Alligator mississippiensis: one gene and its partner. The protein of the gene in region 2 binds, or shares a complex with, the protein of the main gene of each other region. Links are inferred from orthologs where the notes say so. Each region holds a gene or a part of one and is shown on either strand. Other genes may lie near its edges. The genes, in order: NUMB and YWHAH.

What was found.
Region 1: the proteins of YWHAH (region 2) and NUMB are in contact, whole or in part, in a crystal structure (PDB 5YQG), measured with the Mus musculus proteins. The link is inferred for Alligator mississippiensis from reciprocal best matches to the Homo sapiens genes YWHAH and NUMB. Residues at the interface, in NP_035868.1 of Mus musculus: Arg57, Arg132, Tyr133, Leu177, Asn178, Val181, Glu185, Ile222, Leu225, Asn229; in NP_001129547.1 of Mus musculus: Gln274, Gly275, Ser276, Phe277.

Annotation. Positions count from the first base shown.
Region 1 is NC_081825.1:236,382,918-236,394,267, forward strand, and holds the start of NUMB (protein numb homolog), read right to left. Parts: upstream 5,431-11,350; 5' UTR 5,354-5,430; intron 1-5,353. UniProt on the Homo sapiens protein: Regulates clathrin-mediated receptor endocytosis. Plays a role in the process of neurogenesis.
Region 2 is NC_081833.1:20,142,904-20,153,543, reverse strand, and holds the start of YWHAH (14-3-3 protein eta), read left to right. Parts: upstream 1-5,288; 5' UTR 5,289-5,476; coding exon 5,477-5,563; intron 5,564-10,640. UniProt on the Homo sapiens protein: Adapter protein implicated in the regulation of a large spectrum of both general and specialized signaling pathways. Binds to a large number of partners, usually by recognition of a phosphoserine or phosphothreonine motif.

The DNA of each region.
Region 1 (11,350 bases), on a different chromosome or scaffold from region 2:
TTCCTGTTTCTATGTAAATATTAAAACTTGCCCAAAAGATAAATTTGATAGTGCATGATGATTTCCTGAATTAAAAATAAAGCTCATTATTATAACCTTTTTGTTTCTGATGTTTACGTAACCATGATTTGTAATTGAATGAAGCCTTCCTTAATAGTTATAAAAGAATAAAGATCAATCTAGGTCCATAAAGCAAAAGCAATGTTGTTATATCTGGAATCCACGTGACAAAGTTATTTAGTGTCTAAAAAGATGTTGGCTTGTGTAAAAACAAACAATCCTAACCCTAAGGAAAAAAAGGGGGGAGGGGGGCAACTATTTTGGGTGGAGGGCCACCTACTGAGTTTTGGCAAGCCATCGAGGGCCACATGATAGGCAGCCAGGGGCAGATAAATATTAATTTTCTAAATTTTTTAGGGGCCCCGCGGGCTGGATAGAATGGCTTGGCAGGCCACATCCAGCCCCCACCCGCATTTTGTCCACCCCTGATCTACATACACCCTGTAGTATTCAGGGTTGAAATGCACACATTCTAATATAAAAAAAGCTTTACAAACTTAGTTTAAATCTCATAAATCATTAGCAAACTACAAAACCTTCAGGAATTCAAATGTGTCAATTTCTAAACTCTTTGGGCTCATGCATATTTACTTTCACTTTTTTATGTATTTTTAAACAGTGGATTAAGAGAGAGATTGAAAGTTTAGCATTTTAGAATTATTTAGGGATTTAAGCAAGAAAAGATTAAATAAATTATCTTTAAAGTACTCCAAACAAATTTTAGCATTACTGATATAACATACCCTTACCAAGCATCTTTTTGTCTCACAAATAAAAACCAGGCAGCAATAAAGTTGTGGAAAGCTTACTTCCAAATGAGTCATAAACACACTGGCTCTGCAAAAAAGAGGTCTACATGCCCACTTTATTAGATTACCTTGACTCATCAATATATTTTTCCCCTCTCACACAACAGTTCATTTTATGTACATTATTACTGAGAAACTTAAGGACCACTGAGTCACAATACACTCCTGCAGGAATGTGAAACTGTGCAGCCATAAAAAATAATATAGAAATCAGCAGAAATCATATAGAGTATCAATTACTCTTTGCAAGAGGAAGATAGTTCAGCTCTTCCTTTGGAACAAAACAAGGGGAATACAGCAAGAAATCAAACCAGATTTCTCAGGGAGTTGATACCTGACCAGTCATTTACTTTATTTTCATATACACACAAAAAATATATATATAAATAAAATCTGGTTTGATTTGATCTCTCTCTCACACACACACACTTTCACTCTCTCTCTCTGATGATGGAGTTCCAGAAAAACAGAAAAAAAACTCCAGGCTACAGTTAAACTTTCTCAATGCCATGACGAATAATATTTGTATAGAAGTACAACACAATGGTGTCCTCAAACTCTCATATTTGTTGTCAGCCTCTGAAGACAAAAAATAATAATCTGTACCATCTGTACAGTGTAAATCTATCTACCAGCCTTCATGGTGGTAAGGAATCATTTTTTACATCACTTTAGAAGTAAGGTGCCCTTGAAGACAGGCCATCTTCCCTAATCTCAGGTAAACAACTCCCTGGAGAAATTTGTTGTAGACAGAGCTAGAAGAGATCAACTGTTAAAGGAAAGGCTCAGTTGAGGGTTAGATGGTTATCCTGGGACAGTCAGCAGCTCCATGTTCTAGACCAGGAGTCAGCAGCCTGCAGCTCACAGGCTGGATTCAGCCCACAAAGAAATTGGATCTAACCTGCAGCAGAGTCCCCCAGAGCCCCTGGAGTGGCTGGAGACTCATGGGGGTCGCATCCAGTAGCTCTGTTCCCCCTGTCAGACTCTTCCCCTCTCCCTAACAGGGGATGCCACTCCTATGCAGGAAGGTGTCAGTGTGGTCAGTAGTCAGGGGTTAAAGCAGCTCCTCTAAGGCAGCAGCTATAATTCTCAACACAGAATTTACAGTTTCTCATTGCTAAGGGCAATAGGATTTGGCAGTATTCAGCGATGGGGACAAGTGGTGGCAGCTGCAGTGGGGAAGGGAACAAGCAGGTACCAAAAGTTCCTTACACCAGGTAACTGCTGTCCAACTCCCCCCACAAACCCTCCTCCCCCCATGCTGACACCTCCCCCTGCAGTAACAGCATTCTCTCATAGTAGGGAGGGAAAAGCCAATGAAGAAACTGGGTCTAAACCTCTGTTGGTGGTATGTGGGGAGATGGCAGAGGAGGTGGAGGAGGGATTGGTGGCCTGCAGCAGCCTGTCATTTCCTAAAGCTCCACAGAAACCTTTTAACAAAGTCAAAGCCTCTCTGGGTTTGTGCAGACTAGAAGAAAATGGCATGTTTAAATACAATGACTACCTAGATAAAAGCCACAACTAGACAACTAGACAAGTTGCATAAGAGATGTTAAAAAGTGTTAATCAAGGTCAGCTAACTCAAGTAAAAACAAATACAATGAATCAAAAAATAAACAAACCCCCAAAAGCCCACATTTTTGCCCAGGATCTACCCTTGAGGCTTGTTTGGACTAAAAGCGGCAGTCACATTTAGGTCAAGTTTAGCTATCATATGCTAGAAACTATTCCTGGCCCAATGTCCTAATATACAATTTCCATCTTCGCAGGCTTGATGGCATTTGTGCTTTCTAGACTTGCACTTAAAGATGCCCAAGCCAACAAGCTATCTATCCAAAACAACTCAGAGATTCTTTTGGCACATGAACTAACACATAAGCAGCCAGAAAAGGGCTGCATTTATGATCCAACACATCAAAAAAAATCAAGTCTAATTTTTTCAAGAAATGGCAGGCTATCCAGAAGTTTCTGAACTGCTTTATGCAAATCCAAAATCTTTCTGCTGATGACCTTTTAGACCATGATTTAAAGTTGATAAAAATTTCACCTCAAAATCTGAAGACTCAAAGATTTGACTCTGAAGACAGACCCAAAGCAATTTCTTAAGAACACACATAAAAGCTAAGGTTTACTTCTGGTTCTAGAGCAGAGGTAGGCAACATTTTTTGGCCGGAGTGTTGAAAAAAACACGTCTAACATGGAAGATGCTGGAGTGTCAACATGCCAGAGCCTGGAACAGCTGTTTGCAGCCAGCCCACAGAGCCCGTTGCAGCACGGCTTGCAGCCTCCCAGCTGCCTGCTGGGAGCAGCCTGAGCTCCGAGGCTGACAGTAGCACCAAGGCTGGCGGTGGTGTGCCAAGCAAAATGGCCTTGCGTGTCATGCTCAGCACATGTGCCGGGGGTTGCTGACCCCTGTTCTAGAGCAATGGTATGACTGCTTGGCTTGGCTTCACACCATCCTCAAAAAGGGGCCCGAAACATCTACCACCCACATTCAATCAATTGCTGGTATAGAGATAACACACCCTTCAAAATTATCAGATTCCTCAAAACACTTTTTAATCACAAAGCTTTTGACAAGAAGCATTGTGAGTAAAATAGATGAACAGGTCATAGTTTTAATGTATGCTAGCCCAGGTAAAAGGCACACTGGTGCCTGGAGTTTGCCTTGATCAGCTAACAGATTAAAATAAACCCACTGACTCAGACAGGTAACAATAGCCATGTTTGCGCTAGGAACAAGCAACAACTTTTAAAACTTGCCCAAAGACAGCTACCAGATCAATGAACAAGCTGAAGATGGCTTCCTCAAAATCTTTATAGACCAACTAGTTTTTCTCCAAACTTCTGATGTTCTGTAAACCCATCTTTTTTCCACAAAGACAAATGACAAAGCCTTTATAAGGTACACTTACCCTGGGAAAGCACAATTGTTTTCCAGGACTAATGCAGTTGCACCAACAAGAGAAAGTCAGTATAAGCAACTATAGGCAAGAGACAAGAGTTCTTATCACAGGGCTGGTGTCAACCCTTGCATTCATATCACAAGTCTGGCCCCCAGTGCATGGGTGCAAGCAATTATGCAAGCCTCAGCCTTCACTAAGGAAAAAACGGTTTCTAGCCTGGATGGCTGTGAAAAAGAATCTACTATAAAGGTGCAAGAGACCAGAAAGCTAGTCAAACCCAAAAGTGTCATTTTAAAGGTAGACCACAAAACCATATAACTTTTTTTTTTTTTTTACGTGCTTGGGATTGGTAATTGCTGCCACAGTATCAGAAAGACATTTTCATGGTATCACGATAGAAAATACCCCAGCCCTTTTTAAGTGGTCTTGTTTAGAGTCTCTTTCAGCCTTCACTACTTGCAGTTAAAAAGAGAAATAAGAGTTAACAACATAGTTGTCACTATGAACAGCAAACTGGTGGCTGATAACAGATTAAATGACTGATACCAAGGGTCTGTCCATCCTAAAAGGCAGGAAAAAGCACACACGTATGCGAGAGAGTGTGAATGTGACTGAGCGCGTGGCCATGTGAGAGTGTGCGTGCAGGCCTGGATGTGAGAGTGTGTACAAGAGTGCGAGTGTGTAGTAATGTTTCGAGTTTTGCAAACCAGAGCTTTCACTGAGGCTTCAAGCCCCCATTTAATTCAGTTACAGATGAATGAATGTTGCCGTAGGATCAATTCAGTAACCAAAGCTCTCAGATTTACATACAAGGGTGACCACAAGGCCCTAATTTGATTCAGGTTTCTGGACACAAATTCACATTGATCCCAATTTTTTAGAGGCTGTTTCCATGGAGAAGGGCCAAGTAATGAAGAAATGGAAAACCTCCGTGGATTACTGGGGGGGGAGGAGGGGATAAGAGAGGCGAGCGTTGTTTTTCCTCTTCCTCTGGAACTACGAGCCCGCGGGTGCGTGGGAAGCTGCCGCCCGGCCGCCCGCAGCCCGAGGGCGCGCGGCTCCGCTGCGCCAGAGAACAATGCTGCGGCCAGGCCGGGCCATTGTTACGGTCCCCAGGCCGCGGGGGACACACGGGGAGGCGCAGGGACCTCCCTGAACAGCCGCTTGCAGCAGAGGCGTCGGCAGCGGCCGCAGCCCGGCCCGGCCCTGCTGCCTGCCGGAGCCCGGAGCAGCTGCCACGAGCTCGGGAAGAGGCGGAGAGTGGTGCGGGACCGGCCGGGCAGGCCGCGGCCGGGACCGCTGCCAGCCGGCAGAGCCGGCCCCACTCTCCGCCGGAGCCGGGCGCCAGCCTCCCCACTGGCCCGGCCCGGCCCGGCCCGGCCCCTCACCTGCCGGCCCCGAGGGCACCGCCCGGCCCAGCGCGGCACCGGCCAGAGCGGGGGGGACGGCGCCGGGCGGCCCCGGGCAGGAAGCGGCGGCGGCGCCCCCGAACCGCGGGCTGGATATCGCCGCCCCCCCCCCAGCGGACCCAATCCTGCCCCGCGACTCGGCCTCGGTCTCGGCCCCGGCCACACTCACCTGCCGCCGCCGCCTCCCCGCCGCGCCGCCTCGGCCGCCCTTCGCCACCCAACACCAGCGCCGCCGCTGCCACCGCCCCCCTGACAACAGTCCCCGCCCCCCGCCCAGCCGCGCAACCTACTGGTCGCCCGCGCCCGCCTGGTTGGCTTCGATTGCTCGGCGCGCCTGCTCGTCACGGCTCGGCCCCGCCCACCCCACTTAGTACCCACCTATTCACTTTAAGGGAGGGTAGACTCGAAGTGGGGGGGGGCTTTGCCACCCCCGTTCCTCCCCCCCCCTCACCGCTCGTCCTCCGGATTGGCTCAAGCTGCTGAGGTTGAGAGGTAAGATAGGCTGCCAGGGCTGCCAGCTGTTGCACTGATCCTGCCCCCTTCCCTCCCGCCTTCAGCAGCATGGTCGGCAGACTGGTGGCGGTGGCAAGGTTGGTTGCACGGCGCACAGGCGAGAGGGAGGGGCAGAGAAGACAGCACCTGGGCCGAGTTAACCCTTCGTGGGCTCCGCGCAGCCTCTCCCGCGCCTCTGCGGAGAGGGGGCGCTGTGCCCGCCTCATCCCTCGGGAACCTGCGCCTAGCCAAGTGCAGCATGAGGGATTTCAGCTTGATGCCGGTATAGAAGGAAAGGGCCCCATGCAACTGAAACCCTTTTTTGGGCTTTGCCTAGAGCTGTAGCTATGCGGATTATATCAGGAACACTAAAAGTACGCCATTGCCACGGCTCCCAGGCCCAGCAAACACTGCTCTCCCACAGCTCGGCCGCAAGACCACATGTGTGAGAGACTACCATAAAGCTATTGTGACCCAAACCTCCCAATCAACAAAGACATCTCTACGCCACCCCTGGATAGACTCAAATCTAGAAAACCCTTCTGGAAATATGCCAAGAAGCTCTATGATGATAACAAGAGCACCAAAGAACAATGGAGGGAAGCTTGGGCAAATACCAGCCTACCACAGAAATACATTGTCAGTGACCCTACAATTCCCCAGCTAGGATTTGACCTACCAAGAAAGATTTGGTCCTCCCTGAATCGCAACCAGACACTTCATGGAAAATGTGGACACCTGCTCCATAAATGGAGAACCAAAGAGAATCCGGGTTGCGATTGTGGTGCGATTTTTTTAGACGATGCAACACATTGTGAATGATTGCCCAATTAGACCTTTTAACGATGATCTAAAAATCCATGCAGCTACCCTTGAAGCAGCCAAATGGTTATCAAATTTAGATATTAATCTCTGAATGTTGTAATCCTACAATGTCGTAAGAAAGAAGTGTTTCATGGTCCAGACGTGGGGGTGTCTCAGCAGAAAAGGGACTCCTAAGTTTAGGCATCTGAATTCTCCTGAGCTTTGATACCCACCAGGGTGTTGGGGCTTGCTGCTGCTGCTGTCGCAGCCTGGTGATGCTCAGGAGCTCCAGGGTTGCCCACCATCTTTGCCAGGCAGTGCTGCCCAGTTGGCACAAATCTGCTTACATTTTGCTTTTTGACAAGGAGCCTTAGTGCCAACTAGCTGGAAGCTGAGCATGACCGTGTGAGCCTGGGCCCACCTCCGTCCTCCTGCAAGAACTCTCCTGCCACAACACCCATATTTACTTATGCTACTGTTCAGTAGGGAAAGTCAGCTTCAAGAAGTGACAGTGGTAGTGTTTTGGGTGCAGCACCCAAATGAACCACATGCAGAAGGTATAGAGCCAGGAAGCACTAGCCAAGAATTCCTTGCCTTCTGTGAATGGCCTTGGGCAGCTCTTGTATCCAAATACAAGTTAGGGCAGCCTTGAGCTCCCCCAGAAACAGGAAATGCAAAGGTTACTTAAAGCTCTTCTTTCCCCTTTTTCTGAATCAAATAAAGGAATGGAGGAATGGGAAATCAGAGCTCAGGTGTTTCGGTGTGGGCATCCACAAATGAGGCAAACTAAAACCAATATCCATATTTAAAACTTAGGCTAAATTACTTGTTCATCATTACATACGAAGTCAGTGGCAGAAGTGAGAAGTAAACTCTGATTTTCTGAGCCTCAGCAAGTGACTCAACCACAAAATCACCTTTTGTTAGACTATCAACACTGAAAGCAGAAATCTATTTTTTCCCCTCTTTTTACATATGACTCAGCTTGGTGAGTGAAAATAAACTGGTTAGTTCTACTTCTTTTTACACTCATCTCTAGTTACTTCCGCACTGCTGTTTTCACACACTCACCAGTGTATAACTTCAGTATGTGTTAAAATATATTTAAACTGCTTGAACTAAAAATGTTTAAAAATTAAGGGAATGTTTGCATTGATCTTAAGGTTTTTTGAAGCCTAACAAGCCTAACATTGTTTGTGACCTGAATAGCTCCTTAGATATGTTATGTTCCAGGTGGCTTTAATTTAGCTCTTCCTCATATTTACCAAAGCTAGACTCTGGACTCTCTGTTGCTGACATAGAACTTGAGATAAAGTATTGAGCTTTAAACCTTCATTCCAAGAGAAAGATTGTCATGTTACAAGTGACCTCAACTTTCACATGTGATGTAGCCATGAACTGGTAAGGACAAACCAAGGACACTACTGTCAAAGAAATACATTACAGTTTTAATCGATAAAGTCCAAATATATGCCTATCTCCAAGCATATCTGCATTTTTTTAATGTACCTGCTTGTAGCTATTCTCTTGGTTCTGTTAATGCTGCTGCCTGCTGACTTGCCCTAGGTAGCCACTAATGACTGAGATGGGGAAAAGAGGACATGAGGGAGGATGAAGGAAAGCTAGCCATAAAAGAAGTCTTGAATTAAACCACACTCTCACTCATTATGATGGTCAGGGGGCCAATTCCTACAGCCTATAGATGAGCTTCCTGGAGAGGGTTTCCAAGGATGCAGGACAACAAATCCATCTCCAAGGCCTAATGTCAGGCGCAAGACCTGATGATACAGTAACCTAGGACTGTCCAATTTCTGAATGGGCAGGAGTCACCGGACCCCAGTCACACACTGTGTAGGTCACATACCTCCAGTGCATGCCGCATGGGCTGCACACTGCACCATGCAAGCCCCCCTGCTGCACTGCATGGGCCCACAATGCACTGGGAAAGCTCCCCACAGTGCATGTGCCCCCAGTGTACCATAGCCCCACCACATAGGCATGCCTTGCTATGCAGACCCCCTACATGCACGGATGTGATAGTCCCCTACTGCTGCACAGTGGGCCACTCCCACTGCATCCCACCAACTCCAACATGTGTGAGGTCCCCAAGTCCCCTGAGCCCTCTAGCTATGGGGTCCCTCAGCCCCACTGGCCTCACTGCTCCAGGGGTGGGGGCAGGCAGTGGAAGCTGGAGGAGGAAGGGAGAGGCTTGGGACTCTGGCAACAGCAGCAAGAGAACAAAGGGAGGAGTTATCACTTGGATCAGGAGTCCAGGGACTGTAGTTTAACCCCTTGGGATCTGTCGGTTGGACAGCCCCACGATAACCTATGAATTCTAGGGGTTATGAATGGCTAGCAGGGTCTACATAGCAAATCCAAAAACTCCACCCAATTTTTATTCCTGCCCTGTCCCAAAAGCATCAACCTAGGAACAATCACAATAGAGTGGAGCTTCACGGGTTCTGGAGGGTTGTAGACTCAGTTCCTTGAGTCCTGCTTACTTCTACCCAGCAGAAGTGAATTGATTCAGTTTAACTCTAGACCTTTCCATAGCTACAAAGGAAGAAATAAAATCTGTACCATTTCTCCTAAGGATTCTATAATTTAGGAATTTACTATTATTTTACAAGCCCCACGTTTTCACTGCAGTGAACCAGATATTGATATGGCTCACCTTAGTTTTCTCTGACTGGCCCTCTGCGTTACAAAATAAATCTAACTTATGTAATCTCATTGTGTATGACGTAATGAGGGCCAGGATGCTCTATCATTCTTTCATTCTTTATAGGGATAAGCTATACTAGCATACACAGTATGCTATACTTTTAACAGTATAAGTACGTCCAGAAAGAATTGTACTACTTTGACTACACAGGTATAAAGCAACATGCTTTGTATGTTCAAACAGGCCCCAAGAATTTCCTAACATTTCTCAATGTTTCTGTAGCATCAGCACAGCCCCACCTGTATTAGCAAAGGTGAAAGACAGGACAGAAAGTTAATGATGTTTTTTCCTATATTGCTCTGAACAGAACTCAATGATGTGCTTGTTAAAACACATGCATCCTGTTTGCACTGAATTTTCCACCTTGCTAATACTGTACTGCTAGACAGAGCATGGAAGGATGTCAGAAAATCCTCAGTATAAATAAAATTATATAGTCATGTCATACAGGAATCAGTGAAATCATAGGACATTTTCTTCTGTTAGGAACTTATTGAAGGAGTAAACGACAAATTGGTATGCAGTAGATTTTGCATTTTGAAAGGGGTCCAAAATCCATTTTATGAACAAAGCAATGTAATGCATCATTGGTCATGGTTAATACAGAAGGGATGGGAGGAAGATAGTCTGAATCTTTTAGAATAGTTATTAGGAGAAAAAGCCTTGCCCAAATAGATTGTCAAGAGCATGGTTTGTGCCCATGAAAAGATTGTGCTGGTACTACACATAGGATGGATGGGGGAGGGCAGCTTGATTGTACCCTTTGTCTCAATTGTGCATGCACAAGGTAATCCTATAGTGCAATTACTTCATCCAGCTTCTCTTCTCTTTCATTTTATTATATGGATTTCCCTCTCATGCACACTTATTCCTTCTCCCTCCAGTGAAAAGCATGAAGGTTGGGACTCTCAGAGTCTGCAGCTTTGTGTTTAGTCACTGGCTACAGAGATACTGCAGATGGTATCTGCTTAATATTACCAAATCTTAGATCGTGTGTATCACAAATATAAAAAATACCCCTAAAAATGCCCCCCAAATAAGCTGCAGCATCCCACTGGGAATGAGAAATAATAGTACAAAACATGTGAGTAGAATCATCTATCTCCAGTTTTAACTTTCAACCTCGTATCACTGCAGGCTTGCTAAAACTGACTTCCAATTTAAGAAAAACTGAAACATCAAATAAAAACAATTTACAACCTTCTATGTATTTTACTTTAATTTGGAGGAGGAGGGAGAAGCCGAGTTGTTTGTGCTTTTCTTGTGTCCAATCTAGTTGTTTCACAGGGTCCCTGGGCCTGTTAATGATTATTTTTATAAATTAATATCAATTGGATTGTTCAGATTTTGGGAGAGTTCATTTTCTCAGTAAGGCTCTGTGTACAAGATAACTAGGACTGAAGACCACAAACAGAGAGAGGAGGAGGAAATCACTGAAAAGAGAGAGGCAGTTGGAGGTAGGCCAAGATTTCTGTTGAAAGATGCTTCAGTGAGTGAGTGTATTCACCCTGATGAGAGGGGCTGGAAAACAGCTCTTGAGAAACAGTCTTTTGAGTTAGCTCTCAGTCCTGTTATCTGGCTGTGGACTTTACAGCTAAAAGAGAAGGTTTCACAATCCTGCCCAATGTCCTTACAATGCTGACATAGTGGATGTAATTGGGCTGAATGGAGATCAGGATTGTCAGGGTTTTGGTATACGAAAACCTATCACTGCAGGCTTAAAATGCTCTTTTTCCATAATGAGTGTTGCTTTTGGCACTAAAGCAAAATTGACAGTGCAGAGCTCAGGTTGCCAACAAAGTAATAATGAGAAAAAGAATTAAACTTAATTTGACTTTCTAAAAGTGACTGATTTACATTAATGCTTTGCCAGAAATAAAGAGGATGTGCCAAGCAATTTGCATTATGCTGAACAATCACATGGAGAGTGAAAAATTAGACTAACCACAAGCCCAATCCCACCAGATACCATGCACCTTCTGCTCCCATTTGTGAAGGTCACTCAAACCCAAGCATGATCAGTCCTTGCATGGTTTAAGGGTTGCATTACAAGACTACAATTCTTGGGGAGGCGAGTTGAATGGAGTCACAAAACAAATATACCCCTAACTCTCTTCAAAGTGGCATTTCTTTTTCTGTTCAGAA
Region 2 (10,640 bases):
ACTCTTTTAACAGGCTGTTTCAGTTCTGCATGTCCAGCATGAGTGATGTTGACCTTGACTCCTGAAATACTGAACACCTCTGGGGAAAAAAAAACACATTTGGTGTCCTTTTTTTTTTTTTTTACTTTGGTTTTTACAAATTGGAGAAGGAATTTTCCTTCTGTTTTTCTCCATATGATGTTCTGTTGACTTTCTTCAAAAAGGGCATACCCTGTTTTTCTAGTATCTCTAGTTACTTACCTTTGCTTAATTATATGATTGTCATTTTTGGTTTTTAAAGAAAGAATTAAAATGTGCTCCTAAATCCTTTGACTGGGCAGGACTGAGGAGAACACTGTGGTCTGAAGCAGCCTTTTAAGAGTTAGAGATAAAGCTGCTTTCAATTAGCTACTGTGCTCCTGCCACTCGCACAAACCTTCCACAACTGAGCATGCTTTGCACCCCCCTGTGCATATCCCTGAATCATTCTGGCAAGGGAAAGCACAGCCATAATCTTTTATTCAGACATAGCGCTCATTCTTCATTGGACTCTAAAGTGAACAGGGCTTGAAAATATTGTATTTCACAGGGGTGTTGTGAGGATTTATTAACTCATGGCTGCACAGGGCTTTGAACATGTAAAGAGCTACTGTATACAAATTCCTAATACTTTGAAATATTGTGCAGTGACCCCAGGCAGGTTTCACTATGCAGACCTAACCCCATTCCACTAGGGACCACTGGTCATACAGAATCCACTCCCTACTGCCAAGTACCTCCTTACATTTGCTGAATGCAGGCACAGCACACCTTTATGTAACTCACAGCTTGATCCATAAGATTTTAATGCAGTACCCAGGCAATATAATCTTTCTCACCATTCAGTGTAATCTGTCCTTTTCAGTTGCAAGGGAGGTTCAGTGTGAACACCTTGCAGATTATTATCAAGGTGAAATATGGTAAATAGAACATTTTCACATGTGCCTTGGTTGTGTGGAGGGGAGGGGAGGTTCTGCTGCTAGTTAAACAGTGATGTATGGTTTGACTAGAAATATGCCATTGAATTACAGTCTAACATGATCTATGAGAGAATCAGTTTTCCTGTGTGACACTTAAACTACGCCCACTCCTATCTTCTGCTTTGATCTCACCATTACAACCCCTTTCCCTCCCTGATGTGCTATTAACTCACTTTACTATAAAGATGTATTGCCAATGCTTTAACCCAGGGGTGAGCAATTATTTTGGGTGGAGGGCCACTTACTGAGTTTTGGCAAGCCATCAAGGGCTGCTTGACAGGCAGCCAGGGGCAGATAAATATTTTCCAAATTTTTTAGGGGCTCTGTGGGCTGGATAGGATAGTCTGGCGGGCCGCATCTGCCCCGCAGGCCACATTTTGCCCGCCCCTGCTTTAACCAGAACACTTATGGCTCATAGGCTGTGAAACAGTGCATCCCTGCAGCCCCATCTGATCCTCACAGTCCCAGTCAAGATTCCCCACCTTTTCTAGTTCAGATCCCCAGCATCTTCAGATCTCATCCTCCACAGCTACCACTCTTGTCCTCTTTACTTCTGTGGGGAAGCTGGGTAGTCTGTCCTCCTCATCACCCAGCAACTGCTCTTCTTCTTGCTCTCCTCTGCTCCGTGACTTACCTCTCATGGTTCCTCCAACTTTTAGAATCCCTCAAGAAGAAACGTCTCTAATGTCAGGTTGGTAGCTTGCTCCAGAGATTCAATAATATCAGCAGCAGAGGCTCATTAGACCACTGTTGCTCTGCTCCCATGCTGCTGCATTTTAGAGCACAGGGAAGGAAGGGGGGAGATCAAAGCAGCCAAAGAGGATGGCCATCCAACAGCAATGGCAGGAGAGGATGGTTCAGGGACAGGGTACCAGCAGCTTTCCCTGCCTTTTTCTTCTTTACCAATGGTCCCTGCAGTTCTGATCTTCCAATGGCTTGAATGAAGAGCAGAACAGAGAGAATAAAGGGAATTTTAACCAAGGTATCTTACCATCCCAATGTGGCATATCATTGTTGTACATTGCCTTGATGCTCCAATAAAGTACGGCTGTGGCCCTGTGTGAAAGTGGGATTTGGAGCACCATAAATGTGCAGTCTCCCCAGCTGGAATTCCATGCTCTGTGTGGTAACCATGTCAACAAGGCTGAATCCCATTTTATGAGAACAGGATTTCTGACTTCATGTCTGGGCTCTGCTGGGAATCTTGGAATTCTGCAGCAAAATGCCTGGCATCTGAGCTTGGGCCAGGGGGATCATAACTACAGAGCTATGGAAAAAGACCTGTCTCTGAGCTCTCTAGGAAGCCCCAACGTTCTGCAGAACATTACATGATACACAGTGCTTCAGTTAAAGGTTTGTCAGTAGTTCTATGTATACTCTGATTTTTATCAGGGTACTCATATCCAAGTCCCCCTATGTGGCAACTTAAAACTCAGTGCACAAGTTCTTAGTGATATTTTAATGATTATTTCTTATTGGTATTGTTGTACTCAAGGGGATCAAGCAGGGGCTGGACCTCCATTCTGCCTGGTGTTGTACACCATGCATTACAAGAAGATAGTCCTTATCCTCATACACTTACATGTTAGATATTATTTTTCCTTCCTGTGTGCTATAATGAGGCTGTAGAAATGCTAGATAAAGTGTTAACTCATTTCAGCCTTTCCTTTGCCACTGACTTGGAAGTGTGCCCAACTTCAAAGCAAGACATTTGATGTCATGTGATGTGCCATCTTGTGGATTTAAGGGTAAGGAGATGCTTAAGATTGCTTCACGCTAAAGAACGTCTGTTATGCAGAGGCTGTGATTTGTTTTAAAGCCCTATCATGAAAAGGTGTGTTTGGGGGAAATTTACATACATATAATAGTTGAATAGATTATTTGGTTTGCTGGATAAATAAATATAACTGGGTTTAAAAATATTTGTTAATCTGTGTTCCCTCAGCAGGCTGAGACTGCTTTACAAGACTGGAAGGTAAACTACAAGCTTTCAAAACTGCTGGCACAATTTGTGAGCTGAATAATCATTATTAGAGATTAGCCTAAGATGCAATTTTATGTTTGGCTCAAACATTTATAGAGTTTAAGGATTTAATGTGGTTTCTTCCATTTCATATTGTCACCATTTAGTCAACCAGGAAAACATCTCTGACACAATTTAATCATACCATTTTCAAGGCATGATCCTGCCCTTCTTATTTGGAACTCCTTGCAGCTGCAAGGACATTTTGACTGAGGGACTGGACTGAAGGTTTACATTTTTCCTGGGTTTTTTTAGAGCACTTACCACTGTTTTCTCTTAAATGCACATATTAAAAAAAAAAAAAAACAGAATGCAAGATTTGGTAAGCCTCACAGGACTGCTGGTTTATCAACTCCAGCACCCTGCCTCCAAAGTGATCAAAGTGTGCAAGGTTGATTCTTCAGGGAAAGACAGGATAATTAATCCCACAATGCACTTGATTTTATGAACAACACTGCATGTGAAAATAGGGGAATTCTTTCCTTGCTCTTGTAGTGCTCAGTTTATGTCCTTAAACATGATAATTTATTATGCAAAGTTACACTTTGTTGTTATTGGCCATAACCTTTATCCAGCCCTATTTAAAAACCAAATACTGTATTTATTCTAAATAGCAGCAGTGGTCTAACTTAACCGCATAAAAGCCAGATAATTCAGATTTAAGACTAAAACTCATGGTTGATGCTATCGGATGAATTGTGCTCTTGCTTTCTGCAGTGTAATACCATTGAATATATGAGATTAATGTATCATTAATGAGAGCAGAACATCACCATGAGTCTATCACTCAGACTAACAGGCAAAGCACTGATGTCATCTTTTAGTGTAGTGTGGTCCAGAGCCTGCATCACTGTCACTGCATCACCTTGAGCAAGTCTGTCACTATTGTGTGCCTCAATTTCCCAATCTGTAAAATAGAGACAGTGATTTAAAATAGCAAGTTAAAATTAGAATAACATTAGAATTCTAATAGAATTAGAAAAAGAATAATGTATTTTTAATTAGTATAGAAAATCACCCTAAAGAACAGTCACAGGGCACAACTTGTAATTCCAGGGCAGTGCCTGGGATTCCACTGAGAGCTTTTTTTTTGAGGGATAGAGTAGGAAAATGATCAGAAAAATCCAAATAGTGGTCTTCCTGACTGATTTTGGTGATCCATGAAGCAGATGGAGATATTTAGTTTATCTTTGGGTTGATTTTAGTAACTGTAATATTTATTTCCAGTGACTAGACTCTGGTAGCTAAGGCCCTAGCAGCTGTATAATTTATGCAATAGTGCCTATGAGAGGTAGTTTTCAGGTAAGCCGTGTAGTTTGTTAATTTGATGAAGCATCTAACTGCTATGAAATGAAATATGTGATGAAATGGAAATTGTCCCACCAGGTACTGTGATGGTGGCTGGTATGTGCCCACTGGGCTCCTGGCTGGAGAGACGTGGTAACAGCTGGTACACGCTGTTTACCTGTTCCAGCAGAAGGGCCAAATTTAGAAAAAATGCGGGCAAAATCTTGTCCCAAAAGGACAGCTTCACGATGGCGTGTCCAGCACAAAACGATGTGAATGTCCAAGCAAAACCATGACAGGCAGAGGGTTGTTCATGTCTTTTATTGGAGCCGCTGTATAGCTGTGGGGACATTGGACAAGCTTTCCGGCTCCTTTGACCTGGCCCATCGCAGGGATGGACACAATCAGAGCCTGGAGAAAACAGAGCAAAGGGAGCGTGACCAAGAGGAAAATTCACAGCGCGGCCAAACCGTACAGGTGGCAACACAGGGTGCTTTGTAGGATGGCTGCCGGCAGACAGGGCAGGGCTCCCTGTGACCTGGGCGGCTGGGGTTGCTCCTGCTCTGAAGGCAGCCCAGCGGGCTGCTCTTCTGAGCGGGCAGTGGGCTTGGCGCGAGGAGGCAGATCCTTCCTCAGGAAAGGAGTAACACTAGCCTTCAATGCTCGACCTCCAGCGTGCGCATGCAAAGCAGCATGGCCTCGGCCCGGCCTAGCCTCCTCCCTTCAGCTCCGCTGCTCTGCAATGCCCTCTCCCCGTCTCCCACCTCCACCTTTGCAGCAGTAAAATGCAGCACTCGCATAGCGCATGCGCGCAGCTCCCAGCCGGTTCTCCGGCCCGGCTATTTATAGCAAGTGACGTCACCTTGAAATAGAACGCGGGGGAGCAGCAGCACCCCCCCCTCGGGCCGGCCCGCGCCCCGCCCCCCCGCCCGCTGCCCTCACACTGCGCAGGCGCGGGGGGGCGGGCGCAGCGCGGGGCTGGAGCCGGCCGGGGAGGTGCCGCACACTCGCCGCACACGCTGCCGAGGGACGCGAGCGCGCGGTCGCCGCCCGGCAACGGTCCCTGAGCGCGCGGCGCCAACGGTAGCCAACGGTCGCGGAGCCCGCGAGGCAGCGCCCCCCCTCCCCCATCGCCCGGCCCGGCCCGGCCGCTACCACGGACGCCGCCATGGGGGACCGCGAGCAGCTGCTGCAGCGCGCCCGCCTGGCCGAGCAGGCGGAGAGATACGACGACATGGCCTCGGCCATGAAGGCGGTGAGTGGGGCCGGGAGGCGGCGCTGAGGCGGGGCTGGGCCCCCACGTCCGGCCCGGCCCCGCTCTGATCCGCGCCGCGCCGCGCCCGCTGCCGGCACCTTCCCGCGCGCTGCCGGGGGAGCCCGGTCTCGACCTTGGCGGGGGGCGGGGGGTGCTGGGGAGCCCCCGGCGGGCAGGGCTGCTCCTTTCTCGATGCTGCTGCACCGCCGAGGCAGGAGGCGCGGGCGGGCTTCGCTCAACATGGCAGCGCTCCGGGACCGGGCAGCCGCCGCGGATCCGCCTCTTCCCTCCTCTCCGTAGCCCGACGTCCGTCTCGTGCGGTCCGGTCCGCGGCCTGGGCGGCGGCGGCGGCGGCTCTCGGACAGCGGCGGAGCTCGTGCATCGCGTGTCGCGGCTGTAGCGCAGCGTGCAATAAAATGGCAGAGCGCCCAAACGTCCCGTGTGGTCACCTCTTCTTCCTCGCCGGCCTGATCGCACAGCAGGGCTCTCCTCTCCTCTCCTGTTTTCTTTTCATATTTATTTTTAATGAGCTTCTAGCAACCTCATTACTTCAGGTTTACACCTGCAGTGACCTGTGTTGTGGCAGCACCCAAAGGCCCCCCCATCAAAATGACACCCCCACCCTCTGCCCTTGCTTGTGGGTAGTGCAGTATAAATGACCGTTTCCTTCACAAAGGAGGTCATGTTATAGCAAAAGACAATCCATTCAGGACCAGCTGGTCTTAAAATTAGGTCTCCCTATATTACAATCCAAAAAAAAAAGCTTTTTTTTTTTTTATTGTGGCTTTTGTTGCCACCTTTTATAGATAGCTTTCACGTGTAGCCCAGCCTGCCCTGGAGCTCATCTCATCCCTGATCAAAAGCACGTTCAGCTGTCTCTGTAATATAGCAAGCAGTTACACAGGATGTGAGAGAGCGTAGTAATGGCACACCCAGGCTTGCTATTGGAAGCAAGTCTAGGCCGTTTCGGAAATGGCTTTAATTACAGGTGAGACGTTCCATTCTCGAACAAGCTAAAAGGCAAGTTCTAGTGAAGTCTAGTGGTGATCCGGGAAAGTTTCCATGATTAAATCTGAGAAATGTATGTAGCCTAATGTCTATAAGTGGAAGGGGGAGGAGGGAGCTGCTTTCAAAGGAAAGCTTGAACATGGGAAACAAACACAATAAACTGACCATCCTTCGGGAAATCCTACAAATAAAATGTAGTTGGTTCAATGTGTTTTCTTTTTTTCCGATAATCCCTTTTAAACTGAAAATATTTTTACATTTTTATGTTGTATCTTGCTTCAAAATTGCTCTTCATTTGATATGTTTCCTTTACAAATACTGCATAGATGGCAACAGTTTCTTTTACTTTAGAACTCTGAAGTCAAATATTTGCTTCAATGGAACATGCTAATTGATTCATTCTTTAACGGGGCTCTTTTTTCAAAGGTTGAATTTGGAACAAAATGAATAGGGTGATGGAAGAGTGTTTCTCTTATTTAAACTGATCAAGTAACTGCAGTTTCTTGTATGCATGCAGTTCATGCAGTAAAATCTGGGTAAGTTTCTGTTCCAAGGAAATAGCAAATAATGGTCTAGTGATGAATTTATCAGAAGCCAACTGTCCATAATTTTCAACTCAATTGTCTTTTATGTATTTCAGTGGATTTTGTGAGAGTAAGTGAAGGAAGGTTTTAAAACTTGTGCAAATCACTGCATTATGTGGACACTTTTAAAATTCTGTACACCTAAGATTTCCTCTAATTGCAGTGCGAACAGTTGTTTAGAAAAAACACTCTTAGGGATGGGGGGCAGGAAATGGGAGGGCCACTAGGTAGTAGACATATTTAAAGGAGGAAATATTTCTTCTGTAATATAGAGTATGCAGTACTTAGTATGAATTACTCATTTAAATGTATTTTCCAAACTGTAAAAGAGTGAAGATCAAGAAACCTGCCAATATATACTCTGGCAAGCAGCATTTCTGAATATTACCCATAACATTTGAAATAAAAAAGCTGCAACCTAAAGATATATCCATGAGAAGTGCAAGCAAATGTTCTACCACGGTAAAATGGCATTCCTCCAAGGGGTGTGGCATCTTCTTTGCCTTAAACCCTGCTCTGGGACTTCAGCCAATTGAGATAATATTACATTTTGTACCAGAGTTCAGTTTTGAAATTCTCAAATTTTATTGTTTGATCAGCAGCCGTTGGTGGGAGTGGGGGGAGACTGAGGGAATACATAACAGTACGCTTCACGTGCAGGTACTGCACTTCAAACTTTTGTCTGAAAAATGCTCTATGCATATAAAGATTCAGGGCTACATTAAGCACTTCCTTTATTTAGCCTATTTTTGAGAATGAAATAAACTATTGGTTGTAATTAGAAAAAGCAGTTAAATTATGCATACCAGATTACGAAATGTATCAATTCTTGCATTGGTGAGTATAGTATGGGTATGCCTTTTAAATATATTTAGGGTTCTGACTTCAAAGTTTCTTCTATCTATGAATGCCTCAAACTTATTTTAATCTACTATATGTGCAGTGTTCTACCCTTTGGTTCTGTTTTCTTTCCCGTACTGGTGTCCCTTTGTGCTACTGAGGTATGCATGTATCTTTGGAGGAGTGAGTGAGCAAGGGTATGCCTTGGAGAGTGCTTCATGCTGGTTTGATACTAAGCATTTTTCACTGTTCAGTTCAATTCAGTAACTGTTACTTTACTTAACCTGGGATGAATGTGAGCAGCCCAAAGTCATTCCTAAATTACTTGCCCTCATGTCAGGATTTCTAGGGTCACAGACCCTCTGGTTCTTAGTATTGCAGTTGACCAGTTTGTTTTTTAACTGTCCTTCAAGGTGTGGAGCAGGGGTGGGGAGGGAACTGTTGGGAAGTATTGGAGGACTGTGTCAGCAACCTCTGTTCTCTCCACAAAGTCACCTTTACTAGCATGAATGACAACAGCTATACCCTTCCTGCTGGGCCAGCTAACCTGGGTTGAAGGTACCTCTAGACTTGAGTGAGAGTTTTATATGTGGGTGGGATATGTATTAATGTCTAAGTTAACACTGCAATGAAGACTTCCCTCAATGGCTTTATCATATTAGTGCTGTTCCTTTTCACAGTAGTTACGAAAGCTGATGTTGAGGACCATCAGGTTGGGGGTAAGTTTACTCACTGAAAAGCCTCTGTTAAGGGATGGCTATGCATAAAAAAGTAGAGAAAGGGAAGGAGGCTGACTTTCTGCCTCTGAGTCAGTGTTTTTACCTCCTTAAGGAGATGGTGAGACTAAGAGGAAGATTTTGGTTGTATTAAAGTACAATATGCCATTGTATTCTGTACTGTCCACCTTCCTTGAAAGTCACTTGCTTTCTGTTGCTGCACCCACAGCCTCCTAATACAGCTGAGTTGCTTATATATGCATGCATGCAGGCCCAAGGGTCTCTGCTCATTGCTTAAGAACTAAATAAAAAATGTATGCAACTTGGCACTATGAAAGTCCTGTTAGATACCCACCTATATGAAACTTCTTGTAGCTTTCAAACTGAGTTAGAAAACTGGGTGGGAGTACCAAAATCCTTAGCTTACTACATTGAACAGCCTCATCTGGGCAGAAGCTACTGGTAGTTTGGGGGTCTCAGATTCTTCTTTCTCAGTGTTAGACAAGCTGAGGTGAAGGTGCGGGTTCACTTGACCCAGGTTGCTAATGATGTAAATCAGATCTTCATAAAATCTGTGTAATTCTAAATGTGTGTGCTTACTACAACCTTACAGTTAGCCATTTGGACAATGCTTTAGCTGTGTGGTCAGATTTGTGTATACTGATAAATACACACCAATACTCTAAAAAGAACTTGTTATACTAAAACAAAGAGTAAGAATTAAAAAAAAAAAATCTGATTATGATCATTATTGGGATTATTCATGTCCAAGAACAGTATTAATTTTTGGATTTGTAGATACTCTGGGGGGAAAAATGTTCTCATGTGGCTAGGTTCCAGATGAGAGAAAAATGGTGGTGTCATAGTTAACTGATAGGCATCAATAAAATAGGCTTAGTAGAGAATGAGTCACTTCTATCTGTTAATCAGGTTTAGTTTTATTGGTATCTGGAATGTTCTTGTTCTCTTGCTATCTATAGTCTGAGGCAGGTGACACTGGAATTTCTGATGTTAGAAAAAAGTAGAGTAAATTTTACTTTGGGAAAACATTTTAGAGGTGCCTTAGACTGCAAGAAGCAAAAAAAGCACAATTGTTTTTTAATGTCTTCTCAGGAAGTCAGGGTTTGGCTTCCTTCAAATAAGTGCCAATTTTCCTTTGTTGCACTGCCTTTGCATAGCCTCTGTGTGGGAGTTGCATACTTTGCCACATGACTTCCACAGTATGGCAAGGACAATGTATTCTTAGAACAAATGGAATTGAAGAAGCCCTGTTTCTTTCATGCTGTCTTTGGATGTGGATAGTCTAGTTAGGTACCACTGTGTTGCCATACTATCTTTCACAAATCCTTTTCTTGAAAAAGGAAAAATAAGAACTGTCTTCAGACTTTCTCTGGACATCTCTTAGGGCAAGGGTGGCCAATGTGTAGCATGAATGCCAGAAGTGGCATGGGCAGCCTCTGCAAAACAGAGAGGAGGGAAAGGAGAGTAGCAGGTGAGGAAGGGAAGGGGATCGGCATGGCACTTGGCATGGGTGTAGGGCTTAATTTGTGGCACGCTTGCCAAAAAGGTTGGCTCCCATTATCTCAGGATGCAATATAAAGATACAAGGACTGCTTGTCTCTGTTTGATCTGCTTTAAGTGATGGAAAAGAATTGGATATACATGAGGATTCTTCCAGTCCTCTGAACAGCATCTGCCTATCTACTTCCAGAAATAGTTTGGCAGATGTTCAGAGAATGATGACAGCAGCTTACGTGAATATCAGTGGAGTCTGGCAGTCTCTCCTATTCAGTTGGGTAAATAATTGTGAGAAAAACTTGAGAGTCTGAGTATGTCATCAACCCGCATGGCAACATTCAGTTCTGTTTTTAATCAAATACATAAATTATTAGTGATGGAATTCTAGGTGTTGTTCATGCAAGTGACTCG